2 linked regions of the Rattus norvegicus genome follow. The protein of the gene in region 1 binds, or shares a complex with, the protein of each later gene. Links are inferred from orthologs where the notes say so. Each region holds a gene or a part of one and is shown in the gene's direction. Other genes may lie near its edges.

What was found.
Region 2: the proteins of Stat2 (region 1) and Irf9 are in contact, whole or in part, in a crystal structure (PDB 5OEN), measured with the Mus musculus proteins. The link is inferred for Rattus norvegicus from reciprocal best matches to the Homo sapiens genes STAT2 and IRF9. Residues at the interface, in NP_064347.1 of Mus musculus: Arg163, Gln164, Lys166, Asp167, Glu168, Asp170, Val171, Phe174, Arg175, Thr177, Val178, Phe179, Leu181, Lys182, Asp188, His190, Gln191, Gln193, Gln194, Leu197, Thr201, Lys204, Met208; in NP_032420.1 of Mus musculus: Leu206, Leu208, Tyr212, Leu233, Asp234, Arg236, Ser244, Glu245, Ser246, Ser247, Met248, Asp270, Arg271, Leu274, Val275, Ala276, Asn278, Ser279, Arg280, Phe283, Val284, Gln285, Leu287, Cys313, Glu315.

Annotation. Positions count from the first base shown.
Region 1 is NC_086025.1:1,289,968-1,293,773, forward strand, and holds part of Stat2 (signal transducer and activator of transcription 2), read left to right. Parts: intron 1-171; 5' UTR 172-178; coding exon 179-309; intron 310-427; coding exon 428-578; intron 579-805; coding exon 806-901; intron 902-1,422; coding exon of another isoform or gene 1,423-1,437; coding exon 1,438-1,530; intron 1,531-1,622; coding exon 1,623-1,698; intron 1,699-2,088; coding exon 2,089-2,174; intron 2,175-2,399; coding exon 2,400-2,551; intron 2,552-3,806. UniProt on the Homo sapiens protein: Signal transducer and activator of transcription that mediates signaling by type I interferons (IFN-alpha and IFN-beta).
Region 2 is NC_086033.1:33,068,135-33,072,400, forward strand, and holds the end of Irf9 (interferon regulatory factor 9), read left to right. Parts: intron 1-879; coding exon 880-1,224; intron 1,225-2,170; coding exon 2,171-2,286; intron 2,287-2,414; coding exon 2,415-2,525; 3' UTR 2,526-3,747; downstream 3,748-4,266.

The DNA of each region.
Region 1 (3,806 bases):
GGAGGTTGCAGCAGGATTGCTTCAATTTCCAGTCAGCTGGGTTACAAAGACCCTGGGTTTGTTTGTGTTTGTGTGTTTTATAAACCAGACAGTAAGTAAATAAGCCAAGAGACTATGAATGATTTGGTCCAATAGAATATCCAGCAGAGAACGGATGTCTTTCCCATTCAGAGTCCAAATGGCGCAGTGGGAGATGTTGCAGAACCTTGACAGTCCATTTCTGGACCAGTTGCATGAGCTCTACTCACAAAGCCTCCTGCCAATGGACGTCCGACAGCACTTGGCTGCCTGGATTGAAGACCAGAACTGGTGAGGACTTGGGGGTTCAGGTGGCTCCTTCTGAGCACACAGGGTCCATCCTCGAGATGTCCTGGGCGATCGCAGAGCAGCAGGTTGTTTATGGAGCCCTTGTTGTGTCGGTCCCCAGGAGGGAAGCTGTACTAGGCAGTGATCATTCCAAGGCCAACATGCTATACTTCAACATCCTGGACCAGCTGAACCAGTGGGACCACTACAGCTTGGACTCCGACTACCTTTTATTACAGCATAACTTGCGAAAATTCAATCGGGACATTCAGGTACTTGGAAGAGCTGGGAATAAGAGTGTGGGACTAGCCTTTGAGTCTAGAGTAAGAGCTGGGAGACAGAGTCTGGACATGGGGTGTCACTGGCAGAGTAATGGACTGAATCTAGATTCAGGGTCTATGAAGGAGAAAAATACTGGAGACACTGAAGGCAGGGTCTGGACTGGGCGGTCATTAAGGTAGTTAAATGGGACCGTGCTTCTGTTTTTTTTTCTACTTAGATGTTTCCCAATGGCCCTACCCAGTTGGCTGAGATGATCTTCAATCTTCTCCTGGAAGAGAAAAGGATTCTGAATCAGGCCCAAAGAGCTCAAGAGGTAAGAACAGTGTGGTACTGAGAGATGGCTTAGTGGTTAAGAGTGCTGACTGCTCTTCCTGAGTTCAACCACAGTGGGATCTGATGCCCTCTTCTGGTGTGTCTGAAGACAGCTACAGTGTAGTCAAATGAAAAAACAAAACAACAACAACAAAAAAACAAATAAATAAAATCTTAAAAAAAGAAAGCAAGCAAGAAAGCCCCTGGGACAGCAAGGCACCTGGCAGAGACTCAGGGAACTCCTCTCAGACCAGGCTCTCCCCCACACTCTGCAGTAAAATTTCAGGTCCTGATATTAGGGATGAAAACTCAAGAGTTCAGGTGGGAGTGGGGTGTGTGACCCATACCATTAATCCCAGCATTTGGGTCCCACAGCTTTAATTTGAGTCACAGAGGCAGGTGGATCTCTGTGAGTTTGAACCCAGCTTGTTATATGTCATGAGTTCCAGAACAGCCATGGCTACACAGAGAAAGAAACTCTGTCTTAAACAAACAAACCAGTCAGAGTTCAAACATGTTCAGAACCTCTTACTTCAGATGCAGCCCAGGCCAGCCCCTGAAGCGGCAGGGGAGAGCCAGCAGCAGCTTGAGATTGAAACAAGAATCCTGGATTTACAGACTGCTGTGGAGGTTGGTGGCTGTGGCAAGTGTTGGGTGTGGAGTGGAGATCGAAGCTTTTCTGCCCTCAGAAAAGCCTCACTGGGGTCCCATCTCCTCCACAGGCGCTGGTGAGATCCATCAGGCAGCTGAAGGATGTGCAGGATGTCTTCAGCTTCAGATACACAGTTCTCAATCACAGTAGGTCCACTCAAGGGGCCGTCTTAGGGGCCAGTGGGAAGGACAGCAGAGGCTGGGTGCTCCATTGAGCAGTGGTCACCTAGGGCCCCTTATGTCAGCGTCAGTAGTCCCATCGATATGTAAGGCAGAGGTGTGGGGTGTGTTGTGGAGGGCAGACTAGAGATGTGATTGAGGAATAGTTCGCAAATGGTAGAGGGATTGTGTAGTAAACTGCCTTAGCAGGTTGAATGGGCTTCTGGTCCATCCAGAATTTGCCTGTGGGACTCCAGGTGTCTGTACTTTCTCTGGTACTCCCTTCCTCCCCATCCAGCATTTTCAGTTTTTGACTGAGACCCTGGACAGAAAAGAGCAGAAGGAACATGTGGTCTGAGTTTTGGTCTTGCCTTTCAGAGAAGACATCGTCTTTGGACCCCCATCAGAGCCAACAGCGGCAGCTTGTGCAGACAACAGCCAATGAACTGGACAGAATGAGAAAGGTGGGGGCTGGGCACAGAAGGGGCAGCAGAGGGGGTTGAGGGGGCAGCAGAGGGGGTTCAGGGGGTATCAGGGAACTGGGGGGCAGCAGAGCGGGTTTGGGGGCAGCAGAGAACTGGGGGAGGGGATCAGGGGGCTATGGCCTCACCATCTTAGTTTCCTGTTCTCTTCATCGGCTGGATGGGGGTGGTGAGAGGTACTTAGCACTCATGAGTTCTCCTTCCTAGGAGGTGCTGGACATCTCCAAAGCCCTGGTTGGACGATTAACCACCCTGGTCGACCTGTTGCTGCCAAAGCTGGATGAGTGGAAGGCTCAGCAGCAGAAGTCCTGCATTGGAGCCCCAGCACCCGAGCTGCAGCTGGATCAGCTGGAACAGTGGTAAGAACCTCGGGGGCTGGTGCAGTGAATGGAGGACAGTGGAGCTCAGTGGGAGAGTGCTCCTCTGCACTCCCAAGTCCTGGGTCTGATGTCAGCACAGAAGGAGAACAGAGAGGCAGGAAGGGACAGGGAAACAACAGCCAATGATGCCTCCGTGTCTTCTGCCGCTTCTCTGGTTTGACTGTGACTATATACTCTGCTGTACGCTGTCCTCGCCACTCAGAGAGTCCTGGTCCAGTCTTTGCTTTGGTAAAGAAGCAAAGGAAAGTACTGGGTTAATCCGGTCTACCCTGTTTTGTTTGCTTTTGAGACGATGTCTCACTATGTGGCTTTGGATACCCTGGAACTCACTGTGTTGACCAGGCTGGCTTTGAACTGACCATTTCTCCAGCCTCTGTCTTCCCAGTGTTGGGATTAAAGGCATGGGCTACCACACCCACTTAATAAAATAAATCCTTAAGAGAATAAGTGGAATATTATAAAATGTGCATTAAAATGCTCCTTAATGATTTATTTTTATTTGCAGGTGAGGTTTTGCCTGCATGTGTGTGTGTCTGTGTGATGGTATTAGAGACCATTGTGAGCCACCATGTGGGTGCTGGGATTTGAACCCAGATCCTCTTGCAGAGCAGTCAGCGCTGAGCCATCTCTCCAGACACCATTTCTTTTTTTTTTTGGTTCTTTTTTTCGGAGCTGGGGACCGAACCCAGGGCCTTGCGCTTCCTAGGTAAGCGCTCTACCACTGAGCTAAATCCCCAGCCCCAGACACCATTTCTTTAAATTGTCTACTGTCTACTACTGTGTGTCTGTATGATGGGGAGAGCGCGCGTGCGCGCGTGTGTGTGTGCGCGTGTGCGTGTGTGTGTGTGTGTGTGTGTGTGTGTGTGTCTGTGTGTGTCTGTGTGTGTGTGTGTGTGTGTGTGGTGTGTATAGAGCTCAGAGGAGAACTTTGTGGGGTTCTCTACTGACATCTTTATATGGGTTCCAGGGACACAACCCAAGTAGCCGGGCCTTCTTTTTTTTTTTTTTTTTTTTTTTTGGTTCTTTTTTTCGGAGCTGGGGACCAAACCCAGGGCCTTGCGCTTCCTAGGTAAGTGCTCTACCACTGAGCTAAATCCCCAGCCCCGTAGCCAGGCCTCCTTGATGAGCACTTTTACCCACTGTGCCGTGTCTCAGTGCCAGCGTATCTTCTGAGGCTTTACAAAGATGGTTGTGAGCTGAATGTGGTATTGGAGACTGGTAATCCAAGTCCTAG
Region 2 (4,266 bases), on another chromosome or scaffold:
TGTCTACCCTAGAAGAACCCCACTCGTACCAATTGAACACTCCGTGTAGCCGACCATACTTTATATAGCTTTTTCGCCCTCAGAAAACAGCTTAAGTACTCTGTTCTTCCAACAGCCACATTGAAACATTTATTTCTTTTATCATCCAGAAAAGTCCAGGCTGTGAGGTTTTCTTGTACACACTGCAGCCATGAGCATTAAGTTCTAATGGGCATGACTCCCAAGTGATGGGGGAAGAGAGGAAAGCATCAATGTGGAGAAGGAAGGCACCTTTCTTTTCTCTTCTTCCTTTTTTTTTTTTAGATTTATTCATTTATTATATATAAGTACACTATAGCTGTCTTCAGGTATTCCAGAAGAGGGCATCGGATCTCTTTACAGATGGTTGTGAGCCACCATGTGGTTGCTGGGAATTGAACTCATGACCTCTGGAAGAGCAGTCGGGTGCTCTAAACCGCTGAGCCATCTCTCCAGCCCTCTTCTTCCTTTTTTTAAAGACAGCCTCATGACGGCAGACTGACAGCACTGTAGCTAAAGATGACCTTGAATTCCTGGTCTTCCTGGGATTACAGATGTGCTAGCATGCTGGGTCCTAAGGGTTTATGCTGATTGAACCTTGCCTGGGCTTTAAGCATGGTAGGCAACCACTGAGCCACATTATCAGATGAAAGGAACCTTCCCTAACCTTTAGTTAGGAAAGGAGGAGCTGTCTCAGCCCTGCTCTCTCTCCCAGTGCTTTCTTGGATTCCTGCTCTGGACCTCAGTTTTCCCATTAGCAAAACGAGCTTCCCTTTTCTAAAGCCTTGTTACTTGGGCTGCCTTGGGGGAGAGGGCCTCCCAGCAGCCTTCAGGGCTCCTCCTGAACCTTTCTGTCCCCAGACTACTCGCTGCTGCTCACCTTCATCTATGGCGGGCGCGTGGTGCATGAGATCCAGGTGCACAGCCTAGACTGTCGGCTTGTGGCTGAGCCCTCAGACCCGGAGAGCAGCATGGTGCAGCAGGTGGTGTTTCCCAGACCTGACCCACTGGAGCCCACCCAGAGCCTGCTGAATCAGCTCGAGAGAGGCATCCTGGTGGCCAGCAATTCCAGAGGCCTCTTTGTTCAGCGCCTCTGCCCCATCCCCATCTCCTGGAACGCACCCGAGGCCCCACCTGGGCCTGGGCCTCATCTGCTGCCCAGCAATAAGTGTGTGGAGCTCTTCAGTACCACATACTTCTGTAGAGGTAAGGGTGTCCCGGCTCGACCTCCCCTTCCTCGTTATCCTGTGCGCCCGGTGGGTTTCCCCACCACCCTCCCCAGCAGCTCATCCTCACTGCGTGGGACCCCTGCGTTGTGTGATACACATGTTCTGTAGCCATATTGTTCCACTCTGCAGACTTCCCCTAGCCAAGGCCACGGTAGATGAGGGTCAGCTGGAGTTGAGCTCTTAAGTGATACGTCTTGGGGAAGCAGCGTGGTTAAGTGAATTTGTACAGTTTAGTTTGCGTGGATTTTTAAGCCCTGTGACTCCTCAGACATTGGCAAACACAGCTCTGTGGAAGAGCCAAGACACCTTACCCACACTTGCCCCTCTCTCCCATCTCTCTGCCATATTGTAAGCATCTTCTAGGACTGTTCCTTCTCCCGTCCACTCTCGAGATTCCAGTCACAGCCTCTAAATGTGCGAGGAGGAGTGGAGAGAGGAACATTGAGGACAGAGTGCTGTCCTAGTATTGGGAGAGCAGGCAAGCAACCAAGGGGTTGGTAGGCAGGGCTGCTGCTTCTGAGGACTTCGAGCCTCTCAGCAGGAGCATCTGCTCCTGTGAACTGCAGGAAGGGGCTGCCTCTTCCTGCAGCAGCAGGGAGAACAGCTTAGTTCCTCGCAGCACCAAACCACAGTTTCTGCTGTGCCCTGGGTGCCGGAGTTACCCCATCCCAGTTTTCTCTGCGTTTGGCTCCCCAGGCAGTGTCACTTCACTCATGGCCCTCTATCTTTTTTGTTTTTGCTTTTGTGGCAAGTCCTCATACCACTCTGGGTGTCCTGGAACTCACTAAGTAGATCAGGCTGCCTCAAATGTGGTGACTCTGCCAACCTCAGCCTGACCAGCGTGCCTGGCCGCACACCACCATGCCTGACCTACTGCCATGCCTTGCCTTCTTCCTTCCAATCCTTGACCCTTTTTCTTTCAGATTTGGCCCAGTACTTCCAGGGCCAGGGACCTCTACCCAAGTACCAAGCAACACTGCATTTCTGGGACAGGAGTCCTAGCTCTAGCCATACCCAAGAGAATCTTATCACGGTGCGGGTAAGTTCAGCCCCGGGATGGAGCTCTGTGATGATTTGTCTCAGATAACTCCCTGAGGGAAGGGGCTGCAGGGTGGTGGCTGTCCCTACAGTGCTCACTGAGGCCGCTCCTCACTTCCTCCTGCACAGATGGAGCAGGCCTTTGCCCGAAATTTACTAGAGAAGATTCCAGAAGAGGAGAAAGCTGCCTTGTTCCTGGTACAGCACACAGAGCACCAACCTGCCACTCTCGCACTCTGATCCTCGGGTCCCCGTTGAAATAGACTTGTTCTCCACACCGTTGGTCTGCCTGCTTTCGTGATGATTCTTATCACTGTGGGCTTTCCAATGTGGCCAAGAGAAAGTGCAAGGATAACTTTTATCTTCAAAAACTATTCTGAGAGCCAGACTCGTTGGTGGATATTCATAATCTCAGCACTGGATTATGAGTTCAAGGACAACCTGGGGGAGACTTCTATTTCCTTTTTCTAAAGCTATATCTTCTTTCATTTCTAAGAAACTGGAAAGTTCCAAAGGGTGTGATCTCAGAGGAAATTTTGCTATCCTCCCAATCCCTAACTCTAAACCTAAGCTGTATGTATGTGTGTATGTATATATATAAATATATATTTCCCCCCTCAGTTCTCACTAGAATAAAATAAAATTTAGCTGGGTGAGGTAGTACACACTCGGCACATAGGAGTGTATGTGCAGAGGCAGGAAGATTGTGAGTTCAAATTCAAGGCCAGCCTTGGTGATACTGTCTGTCTCCAAACAGTAAATAAAAGCTTACTAAGAGAGAGAGATCAGGATCTGATTCGTTAGGAGAGGGTGGCAGGGGTTAAGATGGAGACCAAGGTACCCAGTATCTGGGTTCTCTGTCACATGGTGTTTCTGGGCCTAGCCAGAGTGCCATAGTCTCTAACCCATGGTGATTTCTCCTGCCCTAGCCTCCTGAGTGTTGGGGTTCTGGGTGTACACCACTATGCCTGGCCGTACCCCCATGTCTCCCTCCCTTTACTCTTTTTTCCAGTTGACCTTCCCGCCCCCCTTTTTTTTTCAGACTTGACCTGGTACTTCGAGGGTAAGGGGCCCCCACCCAAGTTACAGGCAACTGAGATTGGATTGGGGTCAACCTCTAAGACAGGCACTGTTGCCTACAGGCAGACAGCACTATAGCCACAAGGCGGTTTGAATGAGATTAGCCTCCATAGGCTCATATGTGAATTCTTGGTCCTCAGTGGACCCACCTGGGAAAGGTCAGGAGGTGTGGCGTTGGATGAGGTGTGTCAGTCACTAGCCATGGGCTTTGAGGTTTCCCTGCTAGCACACTCTCTGTGTCTCGTGCTTGTAAATCAGATGTAAGCTCTCAACCCCAGTACCATTCCTGGCTGCCTGCCTGCTGCTGTGTTCACTGCCGTTTTGGTCACGGACTCTAAGCCTTTAGAAATGTGAGCCCCAAATTAAACTTTGTCATTCCTAAGTTGCCTTGGTCATGGTATCTACTATAGCATTAAAAGGTAACTGAGGGAGCCGCCAACTTCATGTGGGACATTGTGGCTGCACAGTGTTTTGCTAGGGCTTCAGGAATGTGCCTGAATAGGGATGGTCCCCGGACTAGAAGTCTAGACCAGGAGGAGACACTGGAACTGTGGTCCAAACTTCCAGGACATAAGAGGGAAGGAAGCTTGAGGGAAGAGTTGCAGTGTCTGCTGTGTCTTCCTGTGTCTGCTGCTGCAGACATTGTGGGGACATGCTCGTCCTTGGTAACACTCAGTGTGACTGGCGGGCACTTCTAAACTGGATTCCTCTCTACTGAGCCCCACAAAAGGCAATCTGACCTAGGCCAGGCATGGTGGTTCGTGCCTATAATCACAGTACTTGGGAAGTGGAGGTAGGGGATCAGAATCAGGAGTCTGAGGGCTATCTGGGCTACCTGGGATCCTGACTCATTTGTTTGTTTGAGACAGAGCCTCACGGTGTAGCAGTGTCAGGCCCTGTC